3 linked regions of the Saccharomyces cerevisiae S288C genome follow. Changing the gene in region 3 together with the main gene of any one other region gives a genetic interaction. Each region holds a gene or a part of one and is shown on either strand. Other genes may lie near its edges.

Region 1 (6,823 bases), on a different chromosome or scaffold from region 3:
TATCGTTATTTGCCAGATTTGATCGTCTGAGAGATAAAGCGTTTGTCTCCTCCAACGATATAATATAAAAAGAATAATAAATGGGAAGATGATTAAGGAGACAGTAGAAATCCATGTATTGAAGGGAGATCCCATCAAGTAATATCGAGTGATATATCCCGCCCATGAACACATTCTTAGCCCTTTATGCAAGGTTGGCCATTCCCATGCATCAGACGATAAACTATCATATTTATCCTCATCAGGCACTAACGCGTTATTAGAGGAGGCCATGGCAAAATTAGTTAGAATAAAATCGGTCCAAAAATTGGATTTTGGTGGAACGTAATCTTCTGCGGTTTCTAAATTGTGGTTCCAGTGATCTTCTACATTCCACCAGGTCGATTTGTCCCTACGACTCCAGGAGTCTTTGCAGACGATTTCAGCTTGTTTAAATCCCCAAGCTGGATACGTCAATCCAGTAGAAGCCAAGTAACAACCTAAAACTTTGTGTCTCAACCTGAAGAAAGTAGAAACTGGATGTAAAATAGTTGAATTCTCATTAGAATAGACGGGATTTGGTGAATCCATTTGTTTCACAATCTCCACTATCCAATCATCCTTTTCATCGCCAACACTTTGTGACCCATAGCCTGAAACCTCATAATTTCCTCTAGAGACGTGAGAAGGTACATCATGCGAGTGAAGATTCGATCCTGTATTTTTATGGCTGAGACGAACTTCCACACCATCCGTTATTGGGATTATTTTGCCATTCAAAGTCCCGTTCTGATCTAGTTCCAATCCAGAAGACCTAGAAAATTCAAACTTCCAAACATTATTAGAGTCTGCGAATCCATATCCAGTGATTTGGCGCTGTCCAGAGCCTTCTGGGTATACTTGAATATGTGAATGCAGCAGATTCGGGCTTAAACCATGCGACCTTATGGTTAACTCTGACCCAAATGCTACATCACGAGGACCCGCCTCAATCTGAGTTCCCTCCAAGTTTATCTGAAATAACGTATTTGTAGTAGAATCCCCCGTGCCAGATTTGTACAACAACACAAAGTGAATTTTGAAGCAATAGAGATAGATAAGAAAAGGAATTACTATCAGATTAATGATTCTGATAAGCCAATGTTTGTAATATTTTATTCTAGGCAATTCTTTATCACAATAGAGCAAAAATAGTTCTATACATGTGTAGAGGCCGACTACAACTGTGATAAAAAGACCAACCCATTTCACAGAACAAACGCAACCAATAGATAAACCAGTTAATAACATCCATAACGACCATTTTTTCGTCATTTGTTGCTTTCTCAACGTATACAACTTTATCATACAGGCAAAAGTCGTCATCGAGAAAAAAAGCAGCATTGAATCTAGCAATATGAATTTTGAGAGGACAATATATGAATGTTCCAACGTTACCATCGTAGCAATCAAATAAACAGTAAAATAATTGAACCCCATCCATTTGGCTGTAAAGAAAGCTACTGGTGTACATAGAGCTCCAAATGTGGCATTAAATTGTCTCATTAGTTTAAAGTTTACGTTTTCCGGATATGCATTATTAGAGGAAAAGTCAAATTGACCGTCAAATCCTGCCATCCATTCGCTCAATGCAATAAGCATTTTACCAAGTGGAGGGTGGACATCGTGGTAGTACTCATGTTTGATGTAGTATGATCCGAATTTCCCAAAATGAGCCTCATCCCAGACAACATAATTGTTCTGATCTATATGTTGGAATCTTAGATAAAACGAAGTTATAGTTAATAAAAGGGGACCTATGACATCCCTTAAAATTTTCAACGCAGTGTATTCTTCATTTTTTTTTGTCCTATGTTTTTCTTCTAGTTGCTCAAAGCAATCTAATTGTTCATCTTGAATATCGGAGGCATTAGCTTTTGGTTGATTAACATAACGTTCGCGTAAGTTTTCATCTTCAGTATCAATTGATGAAAATCCCGTTCCCTTGGCTTTACTCATTGGTAAATAATAAGAAAAACAGTATGTTAGGACTATCGTTTGGTATATTAAACTGCCAAGAGAAGATAATTTAAAGAATTGTTTCAACGCGAAACGTGACTATAGCTAATGCTCTTTTCAAATTATTGAACTTATTACATTTATAAAAACGGGTAACCTAATAACGTCAAGTATATGGGCAAAACCGTTATTGAAGAGAAGATGTTCCATTGTTCATCAAATTAATATAAATCAATGAATAATATAATACAACTAGATTGAATTACATCTTTATGCTTTCTATGAGTATCTTTACACCAGAATATACTTGCGCCCATATGTATATATGTGTGTGTATATATCAGAAGAATTATCGTTAGTAATTGCAATACCTTAGGGAGCGAATGGGATTCAACTCTTGGTATTTAATACATTTTAGCAAAGAGTTTTTGTACTCGTCATCTTGATATTTCTCGTAAATGAGGGACAAATACCACCAAACTTCTGGGGAATAGTAAGCCTCGATCGATTCTAGTATTGCGCACTCCAATAGAAATTTTAGTCTTGCATACGCTGCTGACCTATCTGTGTCATTAACGAACGTAAGTTTGGCCCTCTTACCTGGTTTTTTATCAAGGCTGAGAGTATAATAACGCTCAAGATTAGTTTCCTCGACGCCTAGTTCTTCAGGGAAAATTAATTCAGCGAATCCGACCAAGGCATCTAAATTATTCTCATCATAGTACAGAACTGTTTCAAATTCCTTTAATGCCACGCCTGGTTCATCTTTTATTATTGATAAATAACCGTTAGCAATATTACAATTTAAATTCTTGAATTTACTTTCGACATTGGAGGCTTCTTTGATGGCGGCCTTGGCATCCTCATCATTGTCTTTTGTTCTCATGTACATATTTGCAGCAAAAATCCACACCATTTGTAAAAGATATTCTTTAGTTTGAGAATATTTGGGACCCATGCTGTTCAATTCAGGTTGTGAATCTGGAAATAATGTTGCGTATAATTCAAAGACCTCTGGAAGTGTCTCCAGTGCCTCTAAAGTGCCAAAAATTTCTTCAATTAGCGCCAATTGCGTTAATTTTAGGTGAATAAATTGCCATCTATCATTCAGAAGTAAAGTATTGTTCTGAAGACTTTCATTCATAGCTTCTAGAACAGAGCAAACTATCTTGTACGACATTTCCTTATCCTCTTGCACAGACCTACAAAGAGCTAATAGATGCCAAGCTTTGTAGTAATTTGGGTTTTTACTTAATATCAATGATTCTAGAGTCTTGATTGCAGTTTCAATGTGCCTCTGTTGTGCTAGAGTGTAAGAATATTTAAATTGTAATTCACGTAATGCCTTCTCCTCCTCTCCTTCTTCCTGCTCTTCTACATCAGCATTGTCTTTTTCTTTTGTGGACAGCATCATTGCATTACATAGATATGAAGTCAAATTATTAGATACAAGAAAATCTAACTGATATTTTCTGATTTCGTACAATGTTGACCACGCATTTGTTAGAACTTTCGAAATGTTTCCTGGGTATACACATCTGGTGCTGTTTTCTAGCCAATCTAAAGATTCTGATTGGCTCATTAATGGCAAATTATATTCTTTGTAGAAGGAATTCAAGGAAGTCGCAAACGTAGATACCGTATTATCGTAATCAAAAACATTTTCGATTGAATCGGTTTTGGAGGAGTTTTGTAAAATAAAAGAATACGCATCAATGAATGAAATTATGTCACGGTGGGAGTTATCGTGCAGTTGATAGTACTTGTCGTTGTATTTCACAAAATTAACAAAATTTAGTATAGATTCTCTTTTAAATGTCTTCTTCTTTATTTCGTCATTACTGTTATCGCTTAGGTTTTGGAAAAGAAACATTGCTGTTTTCGAAACTTCAATACTTTGAAAAGTCTTTTCCATTGAAGATATTATGAAATTATACCAACTGGGATTCACTTTTATTTTTTTTATGTGAGTGAATTTGAAATAATACTGCAAAAAGACATTAAAATGCTCCAAAGCTTCATCATTTGTCTCACTAGCAGTAGGAAATTTGGCCTTCAACAAAACGTTCTGTCCGAACTTCAAATAAAGATCATCATTATCAATGTGCTTTTTGAGAGGTGACTGGAACTTCTTTATCATGTAAAGGAAAAGAATAAAAGGATTTTCGACGGTAGTTTTAAAATTTTCTGCTAAATCCTGAATTTGATTGAACCTGAGTTTTGCGACGATCAAGCTGATGTATTCGAAAAGAAGACCGTTTGATTCGGGAGGGATCGTATCCACGTGGGCCAGTAGTTCTTTGTAAAAAACATTTTGCATGATATTTATGTCTTGCGAAACTAGACCACGGTAGTACAGGTTTTCTACGATCAAATACCTATCATACTGCTCCATAAGTGCTGTTTTTTGCGATGCAGTGTTATTATGAATTTTCAACGAGTGCAGCAAGCACCGCTGCGATTCCTGAAATTGGCCCCTGTGGAAGAAAAGAATACCGAGGCAATTGAACAGAATTTTCTCCACTAGTTTTGTAATCTCCGGATAGTCATTCAACTCCTCCATCATACTCATATTCTTTTCTAAATTTTGACTTTCCTTCAGTAAAACATCACAAACTGGTTTTGCAGGCCCATTCGATCCAATAACATGGTAATGTAGTCTAAACTGTAAGTTAAGTACGGAATCTAAACTATCAAACCCTGAATTGAAGGTGCTGCCACCTAAGAGTCGCGCTCTTAGCGCTTGGTCGACCACATCTATTATCTTCGATGGAACAGTAGGAGGAATCCGAACATTTGAGTTAGGCATTGGGCAAGTTGGTATTGAACTTCTTTCCAGCTGGCGTGTTCAACTTGTTCCTTCCAGTATGCCACACATTATGCCTTGCACACCTAAAGCACATATTTTCGTTATTTTTCACCACAATAGGTGGATCTCGAAAAGGATGGAAAATCAGGAAAAAGAAATGTTGAGAAAAAAATAAACCGATTCCCGTTTAGTTTTCTCCTATTTCCGTGTATATGCGTGGTTATTCGTTTTCGAATCCTTTTATGAATGTCCGAGGAGGTGGTACAATCCGAAATAGACTAAAGAAAAGCGAAAGCCGTGAGTTTGTTTGATGATAGATGACTCGCAGCTTTGTCATCAACGGGCCACCCTATTCGAAGAAGGGAATGGAAAACGGACTGGCGTAGTCAATAAGCGTCTTCATATCTTAGCATTGTTGAGAGATACATAGTGTACTCCATATCGTTCTTTTTTTTTGTATATATCAAGCCACATATCCTGTTTCTTTAATCTTTTATACGCCGTAAGAATCGGGTACTGACATAAGTGTAAGTAGCCGTACAGAGAACAAATATGACTAAATCGGTTGGTGATGAAGAGTCACAGTACATTGAGGACCCTAGTTTTGCAGCAGCAGCTGCATTTACTGGCGGCAGGGACGGGGTTTCGTACAGTAATCAGCGATTTGCTGAGGGTTCCGGCCATTCTTCTGACTTAGCAAAGTCATTAGAAGACTATCGGCCTCCTGATGAAAAGCCGTCCTCATTGTCATCTGTGGGGGAAGGTGGCGCTAATGAGGAAGAGAAGGGCGGTAACGACGGCGGTCCCTTGGCAAGAATTCAAACAGGGCTTTTTTCTCCAAGACTGCGAAATCATAGGAAAAAGATTCTCTCGAAGTTTGTTTTGAACAACTTCTTCATTGCTTGTGTGTGTGTATCGCTCATATCGATTTACTGGGGTGCCTGTTACGGAACAGATCGTTACTTTTTCAAAGTGAAAAATATTGTTGTATTGCAGGATGCGCCATCTAATACTTCAGTTCAATCTATTTCCGCGATCATACCCTCATTGTTAGCGTCTGTCCCCGGGACATGGCATATATACAACGCAACATCATTTCATAGGAAATTTGGTACGACGAACTCCACCGAAATTGACAGAAAGATAGTCGATTTAATTTACGATGAGAGATACTGGCTGGCGTTAAACGTTAAACCTAATGCTACAGACACTTTGTATAATTCTTTGATTAGCCAAGACGCAAACTCGGAGTTCAATTCATCAATTTTTTTTGAATCCGTGTTTGAAAGTGGTCGTGACCCATCGAGTGTTAAATCGACCATTCTACCACTCATGCAACAATTGGAGGTCCGCCTTCAGAAATATTACGTCAAGGAATATCTTCCCTCATTGATGAGCAACATCACTTCTAATGACAGAGATCTTAATATAAACATGGAGAACTGGGCGATTGCAGGACAGTTGTTGTTCACCTACAACGATTATCGTCCCTTTGCTGATCGTATTCTAATGGCCCCTCTGCAGGTCGGTCTGATTTATTGTATTTTGTTAACCGTTTTACAACTGTCATTATATGGTAAGTTGCACGGAGAAATGGCCAGAGTTCTGAAGCCAAAGCATATTTTAATCTACAGGCTTCTAATTTCCTGGGCAACTTATTTTCTTCTTTCCATTGGATTCTGTACCGTATCTGCAATTTTTAGGATCGATTTCACCCCCGCCTTTGGCAGAGGAGGATTCGTAGTATATTGGATGTCTACGTGGTTGGTAATGATGGCTGTTGGTGGTGCCAATGAAAACGTTCTCAGCTTAGTTATAGCTTACTGCCCTCCATACCTGAGTATTTGGTTGATGACGTGGATCATATTAAATATTTCTGCTTCATTCTACCCAATGGTTTTGAACAACGAATTTTACAGGTACGGCTACATAATGCCAATCCATAATGCCGTGGATATCTATAAAGTGATTTTTTTGAATTTAACCAAAAGAAAAATGGGAAGAAATTACGGTATTCTCGTGGCATGGGTTGCCCTC
Region 2 (6,374 bases), on a different chromosome or scaffold from region 3:
TCTTTTGTTTATGTACATATTCAAGAAAAATAAGCAAGATGTAAGAAAAGTGAAAGTATATATTTTCTACAGAACTTAACAAGTCCCTTTAAGCACCACATGGAACTCGACTGCGCAAGGTTAGCGCTTTACGGACTTTATTGCTATTCTAGTTCAAAGAAAGCAAATGGCGCAGTTACCAAACCTCGCCATTTGTTTTTTCCGTTATTTTTTCTTCTTATAAACGCGCCTAGAAGAAAAAACCGTGCGAAGCGCAAATCCTGAGAAAGCGCTAAGGAGGTTTCAACCAATGTTTACCACTTGAAATTTTAGCATTCTCATCACTGTAAGAGAGATAATTATCCTGTAAACATTCCAAAATACCTTTTGTAACGCTGATTGTTGTATTTGTTACCCCAGAATTGCCATATATAGTGGAGAAGAAATCGAAAAGGTCATATACAGCAGAACCAAAAAAAATAATACATTCGTTGATCCTTTACCGTTTTCAAGAGTGAAACGTGATCGTGTTTATACTTTTTCGACTCAAATTTGTCCTTATCTTTAGTTAATACGGTCTAACTTGCCACGCTACTCAAGAAATGACCTCGATTCAGGAGCGAGGCACAAGCGCTCATCTGCATTCGCTTAAAGAAGGTGAGGCTAGTGATCGTTCCAGCGAGATGCTTCCTAAACAAAGAAGTATCATAGGATCCCACGTGCAACGTCCACCGTCTCAAACAACTTTAGGAAGGTCAAGGGCTGGAAGCAATACAATGAATAAAGTTTCAGGCTTAGATATTGCTCGAAGACCAAGTGAGAATTTATTATCAAACATGAACTGTAGCGACAACGGCAATGGGGGAAATATGCTAAATTCATTCGTTAACTCGGCTTTACCACCGCCAAAAGTCAACCCTGCTCAAACAAGACGTGAACGTCCCGCTTCAAATAGCTCAATAGGTACCAAGACTACCGAGGTATTTTCATCCACTTCTGCATCTTCCTCCTTGGGAGATACCAGCGATGAGGGAGAAGGCAGTGATGCCGACAAATCTAAAATAAATACTTTTCCCAGCATATTGATGGAAAAGGCTACTCAAGGTAGAGGCGCTGATGGAAATGGAATGAGAAGCGCAAGCAATAATACCATTGTGGAAGCAACTACGGACGGTTCCAAAATGGCACTGCAAAAAAGCATGTCGTTTGATGATACAGCCGCAGAGAAAACTATGAATAAATCTAGACATTCTTACCAAGAACAGTTCTCCTCGAAGAAAAGCCAGTCATCTTTACTGAACAGCAAGCAAAGATCACGTGCTAAATCGCAAACATGCTCGTCTACGGGTTATAACAACAGCAGCATTCTGAAAACGTTTGGCATAAGCTCCAAAATTTCTAATTCAAGTGATCGGATAGAGGCTTCGTCATTAGAATTTAACGTTCCATCTCAGAAACCTTTGAATTGCAAGCCATTAACTCCGTCTCAGAAATACAGACTTCGTAAAGAGCAATCGGAGATGAATTTAAGAAATACAATCAAAAGAAAAGAGAAATTTTATGATAGTCAAGAACAAATTCTTGAGTTACAAGAGGGAGACGTTGATGATTCGTTGATTTGGAACGTTCCTATGGCATCATTATCTACTAATTCATTTCTAGCGTCTGCTAAGCCCGATGATATGAATAACTTGGCTGGCAAGAATGACTTATCAGAATATACCGGAGGTTTGGTAAATGATAACTCTGAAATTTCTTATACAAAACAAAATCATAGGTACTCGAACATCTCTTTTGCGAGTACAACATCAAACGCCTCATTATTGGACTTTAATGAGATGCCTACGTCTCCGATTCCAGGTTTGAACAAAGTAACTGATTTTCAGTTCATTCAAGACACAACCAAGAGTCTAGCCTCTGTTTATTTGCATTCTTCCAATAGGCTTTCAAGATCTAAGCTGTCCGAAAGAACAAAGTCTTCCGATTTCTTGCCAATTGAACTAAAAGAAGCTCAAAATCAAGGCATGGAAGATTTGATACTTGTCTCGGAGAACAAACTAGATGTGGTCAGCCATTCAAGACCGAGTTGGTTACCACCCAAGGATCGCCAGGAAAAAAAGCTTCATGAAAGGCAAATTAACAAAAGCATGAGTGTTGCTTCCCTTGACCAACTAGGAAAAAATAAAGACAGAGAAGAAAAGTTGATTAGAGATGAAACAAATAGGCAAAAATATGTGTTATTATTGGACAGAGATATAACTAGAAACTCCTCCTTACAAAGCCTAAGTAAAATGGTTTGGGACACTCCATTTAGTGACGAAACTAGGTCAACAATTTACAGCGAAATTTTACAGAGCAAGACTAGGTTTATTACCAAAAACTATATTCAACCATTTCATGAGCTACAGGAGCTTTTAACAAAAATGGGAGACTTTCCTAAAAACAAGGAAATTGAAATATCGCAGCTAATCGAAACAAGTTTGAGGCGAAAAGTGAGCGGTTTACATGATATATGTCCTGATTTGATGCTTTTATTGAAGATAAAATCTATCTCATCACAGGGTATAGTCACCGGTGATGAACTCCTTTTCCATCATTTCTTGGTGAGTGAATCATTTCAGAACCTGGGGCTAAACGAGATTTGGAATATTGTTAATTTAGTACAAATGACGTGTTTTAATGATCTTTGTAAAGAAAAGTTCGATGCAAAGGTTTTAGAACGTAAGGGTGTCGTAGCCGGTTATTTATCGCAAAACGAGGAGTTCAAGGATGAATTTAATACGGAGTGTATAAACTCTACCACCTGGTGGAACATCCTAGAACGTATTGATCATAAGCTTTTTATGTGGATCATGGATATTATAGTAGTCAACAATTCCCAGAGCTACAAAAATAGCCCAATCAACGAAGATGAGTTTGTTAACAAGGATTGGGAATATTACCGCTCGAAGAAAGTGGTAATAAACTACAAGATCTTGATTTCATTTGCATTAAATGTATTGTTAAATTACCACTTTGGATTCACTGATTTAAGAAGTCTTTGTAACGTGAATGACCAGAGATTTTGCATTCCAGTATTCATCAATGATGAATTCGTAGACGCAGATACTGTAAATGCCGTGTTCATCAAGAAATGGGCGCATTACTACAAGAAGTTTTGATATTTTTTGTAACTGTAATTTCACTCATGCACAAGAAAAAAAAAACTGGATTAAAAGGGAGCCCAAGGAAAACTCCTCAGCATATATTTAGAAGTCTCCTCAGCATATAGTTGTTTGTTTTCTTTACACATTCACTGTTTAATAAAACTTTTATAATATTTCATTATCGGAACTCTAGATTCTATACTTGTTTCCCAATTGTTGCTGGTAGTAAACGTATACGTCATAAAAGGGAAAAGCCACATGCGGAAGAATTTTATGGAAAAAAAAAAAACCTCGAAGTTACTACTTCTAGGGGGCCTATCAAGTAAATTACTCCTGGTACACTGAAGTATATAAGGGATATAGAAGCAAATAGTTGTCAGTGCAATCCTTCAAGACGATTGGGAAAATACTGTAATATAAATCGTAAAGGAAAATTGGAAATTTTTTAAAGATGTCTTCACTGGTTACTCTTAATAACGGTCTGAAAATGCCCCTAGTCGGCTTAGGGTGCTGGAAAATTGACAAAAAAGTCTGTGCGAATCAAATTTATGAAGCTATCAAATTAGGCTACCGTTTATTCGATGGTGCTTGCGACTACGGCAACGAAAAGGAAGTTGGTGAAGGTATCAGGAAAGCCATCTCCGAAGGTCTTGTTTCTAGAAAGGATATATTTGTTGTTTCAAAGTTATGGAACAATTTTCACCATCCTGATCATGTAAAATTAGCTTTAAAGAAGACCTTAAGCGATATGGGACTTGATTATTTAGACCTGTATTATATTCACTTCCCAATCGCCTTCAAATATGTTCCATTTGAAGAGAAATACCCTCCAGGATTCTATACGGGCGCAGATGACGAGAAGAAAGGTCACATCACCGAAGCACATGTACCAATCATAGATACGTACCGGGCTCTGGAAGAATGTGTTGATGAAGGCTTGATTAAGTCTATTGGTGTTTCCAACTTTCAGGGAAGCTTGATTCAAGATTTATTACGTGGTTGTAGAATCAAGCCCGTGGCTTTGCAAATTGAACACCATCCTTATTTGACTCAAGAACACCTAGTTGAGTTTTGTAAATTACACGATATCCAAGTAGTTGCTTACTCCTCCTTCGGTCCTCAATCATTCATTGAGATGGACTTACAGTTGGCAAAAACCACGCCAACTCTGTTCGAGAATGATGTAATCAAGAAGGTCTCACAAAACCATCCAGGCAGTACCACTTCCCAAGTATTGCTTAGATGGGCAACTCAGAGAGGCATTGCCGTCATTCCAAAATCTTCCAAGAAGGAAAGGTTACTTGGCAACCTAGAAATCGAAAAAAAGTTCACTTTAACGGAGCAAGAATTGAAGGATATTTCTGCACTAAATGCCAACATCAGATTTAATGATCCATGGACCTGGTTGGATGGTAAATTCCCCACTTTTGCCTGATCCAGCCAGTAAAATCCATACTCAACGACGATATGAACAAATTTCCCTCATTCCGATGCTGTATATGTGTATAAATTTTTACATGCTCTTCTGTTTAGACACAGAACAGCTTTAAATAAAATGTTGGATATACTTTTTCTGCCTGTGGTGTCATCCACGCTTTTAATTCATCTCTTGTATGGTTGACAATTTGGCTATTTTTTAACAGAACCCAACGGTAATTGAAATTAAAAGGGAAACGAGTGGGGGCGATGAGTGAGTGATACTAAAATAGACACCAAGAGAGCAAAGCGGTCCCAAAATCATTTGAGTAACCGGATATCTATCGGGATATTAATAGCAGCTTCCATTTCAACTAAAACAACAGCAAGATATGAGCGACAAGATATCCTTTCTACCTCCCGAACCCATCCAACTACTTGACGAAGACTCCACGGAGCCTGAACTCGACATTGACTCACAACAAGAAAATGAGGGACCCATCAGTGCGTCAAACAGCAATGATAGCACTAGCCATAGTAATGATTGCGGTGCCACAATTACCAGAACAAGACCTAGACGAAGCAGTTCTATCAATGCAAACTTTAGTTTTCAAAAGGCTCATGTCAGCGATTGCACCATAGTCAATGGCGACCATGGAACAAAGTTTGCTGTCTGGAGAATTACCGTATTTCTTGAACCCAACTTGAAGGCTTTTGCGGCCAAGAGGGAAAGCTATAAAATCCAAACCTATAAACGATACTCCGATTTCGTCAGATTACGAGAGAATTTGCTCACAAGAATCAAGACAGCGAAACCTGAGAAACTTAACTGTTTGCAGATTCCACACCTTCCCCCTTCAGTGCAGTGGTACAGTTCTTGGAAATATCAAGAAGTGAATCTGAACAAGGACTGGCTGGCAAAAAGACAGAGAGGGCTCGAGTACTTCCTCAATCACATCATCCTTAACAGCAGCCTCGTAGAAATGACCAAAGATATACTCATACAGTTTCTAGAGCCTTCAAAACGAGTTGCATAGCTCACCATCCCTATCCAACCGACTATTCTTCTCATCGACTACTACTATCCCATTTAACTCGGGCGCGTTGTTAATTAATCACTCGATGGGGAATGCCTTGAGCTGACCGCAATGAAAACTTTTAGGGGATCGTCCAACATTAAAGGAAGAACGAAACGGACTCCACAGTTTCTAATATAAATAAACAATGATAAAACATATAGTTTCGCCATTCAGGACGAATTTTGTTGGCATCAGCAAGTCCGTGCTGTCAAGGATGATTCATCACAAGGTTACAATCATAGGTTCTGGCCCCGCTGCCCACACCGCTGCTATATACTTGGCAAGAGCAGAGATGAAGCCCACATTATATGAGGGAATGATGGCCAACGGAATTGCTGCTGGTGGCCAATTGACAACAACCACCGATATCGAAAATTTCCCAGGGTTTCCTGAATCGTTGAGTGGCAGTGAACTGATGGAGAGGATGAGGAAACAATCTGCCAAGTTTGGCACTAACATAATTACCGAGACTGTCTCTAAAGTCGATTTATCTTCAAAACCATTCAGATTATGGACCGAATTTAATGAGGATGCAGAGCCTGTGACCACTGATGCTATAATCTTGGCCACGGGTGCTTCCGCTAAGAGAATGCATTTACCAGGGGAGGAAACCTACTGGCAGCAGGGAATATCTGCCTGTGCTGTATGTGATGGTGCAGTCCCTATCTTTAGAAACAAGCCATTGGCCGTTATTGGTGGTGGTGACTCTGCGTGTGAGGAAGCGGAATTTCTTACGAAGTATGCGTCGAAAGTA
Region 3 (6,812 bases):
AAAACTAATGCAAATCTGTGCCCTAACTAGGTCGTTTTCGTCGTTTTGTGCCAACTGAAAAATAATTTCTAAGAATTTATCTAATCTCACAATAAAACTTTGTGTTTGTAGCGGGATCACTGTATTTATACATTTCACCGATTCTGAGCGAATCACAGGTGAGAAATTTGGATTCGAAATAAACCTAAAAAAACTATCCAATAAGGCTTCCATAGGCTTCGTATTTCCCGACCATTCCAATTGGAAAAATTGAGCGCTGTCTTCCATGATCTTAGATAAAGCCTTAATACTTGGCTCATTTCCATTTGAGGTTAGCTCTAGCAACTGGTAAAGCATTTGAAGACCAGTTGGATCATCTCTATGCTGCCTATAGTAAGTGGAAAATAAAGTAGTAATAACGATACCTGTCACGTTCGAAACGAGATTATTGTTCGAATTATAAAGGCCATGTATAATGTTTGATTTGACGTATCCTAAGTCGTGGCTATTGCTCTTAATTAAATTGTTTCCCCCTAGCATTGAATTTTTCAACAGCATACCGGCGGTAGCTCTATTGTTCTGAAGATCCTGTAGGGAGTAGTGTTGCTTCAATACATCATCAGATTCGCCTTCAATTAAAATATAACACAAATAATTGAGAAATTCAGGTTGCAGCTGGAAGTTCTCCATAGCTTCCATTGCGTTATTACGAATCTCTGGATTTGGTGACATACAGTTCTGTAAAAGAGTTGCTAGTTGCAACACATAGTCTTCGGCGGGCTTCCATGTCGATGCCATCTTTATTCACTTAACTACTGCTAACAATTCTGAAAACCAAAGACTGCGGAATATTCTGATATGTATTATTACTATTCACTGCTCTTCTGCATAATTAATACTGAAAAGTTTTTCATACTTTTAAACATAACCTTTTTTTAAGCAAAACTCTATAACCCGGATCAGAAAACTACGAAAAGAGGGTAATAACATAGGTGCAGGATTTCCATCGATAACGACACCGACAATGAGCCTTGCTGCAACATCCAATTAGGACTAATAACTATCGTAGGAATTTCTACGTAATAAACTTCAACAGAGCCTAAAATTTGAAAATAAATAATCTAGAGGGGAAACTTAAAGAAATTCTATTCTTGTCAATAAAGTGGAAATGTGTCAGATGTCACAGTTTCTTTATTTGTGACACATATTTTCAACATAAATTCAGGCATTAGTGCTTTTATAAGCATAAGAAGTTGTGGCGATATGAATATTCCAGATTTTACTTACAAGCTGCATTGTATTCCTAAAATTCTTTTTTCTTTTTTTTTTTTTTTATGGAAAGGACCACTCTTACATAACTAGAATAGCATTAAGAATCAGATTTACAGATAATGATGTCATTATTAAATATATATATATATATATTGTCACTCCGTTCAAGTCGACAACCAATAAAAAATTTAAAAGAAACCAGGCAGTTAATAGAAAAAATATGATATGAATGAATATTCCACTTTCTTTTTACAGTCTTTGTAGATAATGAATCTGACCATCTAAATTTCTTAGTTTTTCAGCAGCTTGTTCCGAAGTTAAATCTCTTTGAGGCTCACCTAACAATTCAAAACCAACCAAGAATTTCCGAACAGTAGCTGATCTCAGTAAAGGTGGGTAGAAATGCATGTGAAACCAACTATTACTCAATTCATCACCAGTCGCATTCAAAGGAGCCTGATGGATACCCATTGAGTATGGGAAACTCGTTTCAAATAAATTATCATACTTAATAGTTAGTTGCTTTAAAATCGAGGCGAGGTCCTCCTTCACCATTTGGTTAAATTGGCTAATTGAGGCAAGCTTCTTCTTTGAAATGACCAAGGTCTCAAATGGCCAGATGGCCCAGTATGGAACAACAACAATAAAGGATTCATTCTCCACTACGACTCTTGACTTCTCTCTTGATTCTAATTTGACGTAATCGGCAAACAAATCAGTATTGTGTTCACGTTTATATTTATCAAAAGATTTCAATTCTTGCGAAACTTCACTAGGGATGGATTCTAAGCACCAAGCTTGGCCATGTGGATGTAAGTTGGAACAACCCATGGCTGTACCTTTGTTTTCAAATATTTGGACATATTTGAAAGGCTTATGATTTTCTCTTGCTTCTCTGGAGAGATCGTCAGTCAATGCTTGCCAAGAATTAACAATATGAACCAGATCTGATTGTTTCATTTGTGGAATGGTTAGATTATGATTGGGGCTAAAACATATGACGAAACAATTGCCTCTCACAGATTGCACTTTAAGCAGCCTATTTTTAAGATTATCCTCATTGGAATCATTCTGTGGTAAAATAGGTTGATCGAGCCTAACGGCAGCATAATCATTGGGGAAAATATACGTTGATTCATATCTTGGGTTTAGGTTACCAGTAGCTCTTTTGTTACCAGGACATAGATAGCATTTTGGATCATACAATGGAGCTGTGGGCTTGTAAGCAGCCTCCTGTTGACCTAACCAAGGTCTTTTAGCTCTGTGTGGAGAAACTAAGATCCATGAATCGGTTAGTGGATTGTAACGTCTATGGGAATGGCTAGAAAAATCAAATTCTTCAGCAGTCATTTTTGAGGGAATATTCAACTGTTTTTTTTTATCATGTTGATGCTCTGCATAATAATGCCCATAAATATTTCCGACCTGCTTTTATATCTTTGCTAGCCAAACTAACTGAACATAGCTACACATTATTTTCAGCTTGGCTATTTTGTGAACACTGTATAGCCAGTCCTTCGGATCACGGTCAACAGTTGTCCGAGCGCTTTTTGGACCCTTTCCCTTATTTTTGGGTTAAGGAAAATGACAGAAAATATATCTAATGAGCCTTCGCTCAACAGTGCTCCGAAGTATAGCTTTCCAAAAGGAGAGGCAAAGCAATTTAAGAATGTATGAACAAAATAAAGGGGAAAAATTACCCCCTCTACTTTACCAAACGAATACTACCAATAATATTTACAACTTTTCCTTATGATTTTTTCACTGAAGCGCTTCGCAATAGTTGTGAGTGATATCAAAAGTAACGAAATGAACTCCGCGGCTCGTGCTATATTCTTGTTGCTACCGTCCATATCTTTCCATAGATTTTCAATTTTTGATGTCTCCATGGTGGTACAGAGAACTTGTAAACAATTCGGTCCCTACATGTGAGGAAATTCGCTGTGACACTTTTATCACTGAACTCCAAATTTAAAAAATAGCATAAAATTCGTTATACAGCAAATCTATGTGTTGCAATTAAGAACTAAAAGATATAGAGTGCATATTTTCAAGAAGGATAGTAAGCTGGCAAATCAGGAAAATCTGTAGACAATCTTGGACCCGTAAGTTTCACCGTTTTTCAAGGTTACACAATCTTTCCAGTTCTCTTGATTGATAGCATCAATGTATCTACCAGGCTCAATTGCAAAACCTTGTCTTGCTTCGTAACCAGCAGACAAGAAATCACCGGTATAAAATTGATAAGTTGGCTCTGTACTTAAAACTTCTAATGTAATATTGGAATCGGGATGAAAAGCCTTGACAATAAGCGTCAATTCATTGTTTAGAGTATTGATTTGACTTGGCTTAGCATTTTCATCCACCACAAAACAACAATCAAACTGGGGATTTTTGGGGCCTAAGACCGTTGGCTTTGTAGAGTTAAAGGTAGCAATTTCTCTATCGACGATATTACCCGTAGGAATCATGTTTTTGTCGACATCAACAGATTTTTTTGAACGCACCATAATCTCCGTACCCTCAATAGTGTCTCCATATGGCTTGTTCAGATTGAAATAACTATGATTTGTTAAATTTATTGGCGTCGCTTCACCAGCAGTCAATTTACCTTTATATACCATTTCCAAACTTTTTTGGGCAACGTTCACAGTATACTGTATGGTTACCAATAGATCACCTGGAAATTCGGTGTCCTTCTCATTATCTATCAGCATGTACTCGGCGGTAAAAACATCCTTTGAAGGATTTTGAATGATGGGTCCCAAAAATCTTTTTCTGTGGAAAGAACCGATACTACTATGATTCGCATTAACGCCGTTATTAACGGTTAACTGATAGTCTTTGTTGCATAAACTAAACTTACCCTTCGAAATACGATTAGCATACCTGCCGATCGTGGCGCCTATATAAGCACTATCAGGATTCAAATACCCTTCCTCATTTTCATAGCCAAGAACAACTGATTGTCCGTTCACTTTCAGGTCAACAATGCTGGCGCCCAAATTGGCAAACGTGGCTTGAAATCTGGTGCCGGCACCAATAGTCACAAATCTTGCGTCATAACGCATATCTTCAGCGGAAAATCTGGCCTCGACACCCCTTAACTGGTAACCAAAAGGATTCTCAGTAGTCCATTTCCATAAATCCTTGCAGGAGTCTTCAACCTGCAACTCGGTCTGCCATTTCAGTTCGCGTTTGGCCCTATCTGGTTTAGCCGTCAAGTTCAAAACATCACCTGCTCTTCTGCCCGTAACTTTGTATGGAAGATCAATACCAGAAGCTTTGCAGAATGCATGATAAACTTCAAAAACTGTAGAACCTTTACCGGAACCCAAGTTCCACTCACGACACAAACCTTCATTTTCATTGTAGGCCTCTAGGTATTGCAGGGCTGCAATATGACCTTTTGCTAGATCAACTACGTGGATATAATCCCTGATCGGGGTACCATCTCTGGAATCATAATCGTCTCCGAAGATGTAAAGCTTCTCGCGCCTACCAACAGCTACTTGAGCCATATATGGCAACAAATTGTTTGGTATACCTAGCGGATCTTCTCCGATTAATCCAGAGGGATGTGCGCCAATTGGGTTAAAATAACGCAAGATAGCAAACTTCCAACTTTTTTTGTCGCTATTGTAAAGATCATTCAAGATATTCTCAATGGCGTATTTCGTATGACCATACGGATTAGTAGGCCCTAAGGGACATTCTTCTGGGATAGGAATCATATTTGGGAATCTCGTAGCATCACCATAGACAGTAGCAGAAGATGAAAAAACAAATTTGGAAACGTTGTATTGTTGCATTAACTCTAATAAAACGACAGTTCCCAAAATGTTATTGTGATAGTATCTCAGCGGGATTTGTGTAGATTCACCTACAGCCTTTAAACCAGCAAAGTGAATTACCGAATCAATTTTATATTCTTTGAAAACCTTTTCCAGACCTTTTCGGTCACACAAATCAACCTCATAGAAGGGAATGTGATGCTTGGTCAAGACCTCTAACCTGGCTACAGAATCATAAGTTGAATTCGACAGGTTATCAGCAACAACACAGTCATATCCATTCTCAATTAGCTCTACCACAGTGTGTGAACCAATGTATCCAGCACCACCTGTAACCAAAACAATTTTAGAAGTACTTTCACTTTGTAACTGAGCTGTCATTTATATTGAATTTTCAAAAATTCTTACTTTTTTTTTGGATGGACGCAAAGAAGTTTAATAATCATATTACATGGCATTACCACCATATACATATCCATATCTAATCTTACTTATATGTTGTGGAAATGTAAAGAGCCCCATTATCTTAGCCTAAAAAAACCTTCTCTTTGGAACTTTCAGTAATACGCTTAACTGCTCATTGCTATATTGAAGTACGGATTAGAAGCCGCCGAGCGGGCGACAGCCCTCCGACGGAAGACTCTCCTCCGTGCGTCCTCGTCTTCACCGGTCGCGTTCCTGAAACGCAGATGTGCCTCGCGCCGCACTGCTCCGAACAATAAAGATTCTACAATACTAGCTTTTATGGTTATGAAGAGGAAAAATTGGCAGTAACCTGGCCCCACAAACCTTCAAATTAACGAATCAAATTAACAACCATAGGATGATAATGCGATTAGTTTTTTAGCCTTATTTCTGGGGTAATTAATCAGCGAAGCGATGATTTTTGATCTATTAACAGATATATAAATGGAAAAGCTGCATAACCACTTTAACTAATACTTTCAACATTTTCAGTTTGTATTACTTCTTATTCAAATGTCATAAAAGTATCAACAAAAAATTGTTAATATACCTCTATACTTTAACGTCAAGGAGAAAAAACTATAATGACTAAATCTCATTCAGAAGAAGTGATTGTACCTGAGTTCAATTCTAGCGCAAAGGAATTACCAAGACCATTGGCCGAAAAGTGCCCGAGCATAATTAAGAAATTTATAAGCGCTTATGATGCTAAACCGGATTTTGTTGCTAGATCGCCTGGTAGAGTCAATCTAATTGGTGAACATATTGATTATTGTGACTTCTCGGTTTTACCTTTAGCTATTGATTTTGATATGCTTTGCGCCGTCAAAGTTTTGAACGAGAAAAATCCATCCATTACCTTAATAAATGCTGATCCCAAATTTGCTCAAAGGAAGTTCGATTTGCCGTTGGACGGTTCTTATGTCACAATTGATCCTTCTGTGTCGGACTGGTCTAATTACTTTAAATGTGGTCTCCATGTTGCTCACTCTTTTCTAAAGAAACTTGCACCGGAAAGGTTTGCCAGTGCTCCTCTGGCCGGGCTGCAAGTCTTCTGTGAGGGTGATGTACCAACTGGCAGTGGATTGTCTTCTTCGGCCGCATTCATTTGTGCCGTTGCTTTAGCTGTTGTTAAAGCGAATATGGGCCCTGGTTATCATATGTCCAAGCAAAATTTAATGCGTATTACGGTCGTTGCAGAACATTATGTTGGTGTTAACAATGGCGGTATGGATCAGGCTGCCTCTGTTTGCGGTGAGGAAGATCATGCTCTATACGTTGAGTTCAAACCGCAGTTGAAGG

The links.
Region 1: mutations in GAL7 (region 3) and PMT6 together harm fitness more than expected from each alone (negative genetic interaction), as found in Saccharomyces cerevisiae (2 studies listed by BioGRID).
Region 2: of GAL7 (region 3) and GRE3, extra expression of one rescues a mutant of the other (dosage rescue), as found in Saccharomyces cerevisiae (one study listed by BioGRID).

The regions. Positions count from the first base shown.
Region 1 is NC_001139.9:892,656-899,478, reverse strand, and holds the start of PMT6 (dolichyl-phosphate-mannose-protein mannosyltransferase PMT6), read right to left. Parts: upstream 1,978-6,823; coding exon 1-1,977. Other genes in the region: YPP1 (Ypp1p), read right to left, coding at 2,333-4,786; SNG1 (Sng1p), read left to right, coding at 5,339-6,823. UniProt on the Saccharomyces cerevisiae protein: Protein O-mannosyltransferase involved in O-glycosylation which is essential for cell wall rigidity. Transfers mannose from Dol-P-mannose to Ser or Thr residues on proteins.
Region 2 is NC_001140.6:319,833-326,206, forward strand, and holds GRE3 (trifunctional aldehyde reductase/xylose reductase/glucose 1-dehydrogenase (NADP(+))), read left to right. Parts: upstream 1-3,576; coding exon 3,577-4,560; downstream 4,561-6,374. Other genes in the region: SBE22 (Sbe22p), read left to right, coding at 582-3,140; YPT35 (Ypt35p), read left to right, coding at 4,934-5,578; thioredoxin-disulfide reductase TRR2, read left to right, coding at 5,766-6,374. UniProt on the Saccharomyces cerevisiae protein: Aldose reductase with a broad substrate specificity. Reduces the cytotoxic compound methylglyoxal (MG) to acetol and (R)-lactaldehyde under stress conditions.
Region 3 is NC_001134.8:272,927-279,738, forward strand, and holds GAL7 (UDP-glucose:hexose-1-phosphate uridylyltransferase), read right to left. Parts: upstream 2,602-6,812; coding exon 1,501-2,601; downstream 1-1,500. Other genes in the region: KAP104 (Kap104p), read right to left, coding at 1-777; GAL10 (bifunctional UDP-glucose 4-epimerase/aldose 1-epimerase), read right to left, coding at 3,327-5,426; GAL1 (galactokinase), read left to right, coding at 6,095-6,812.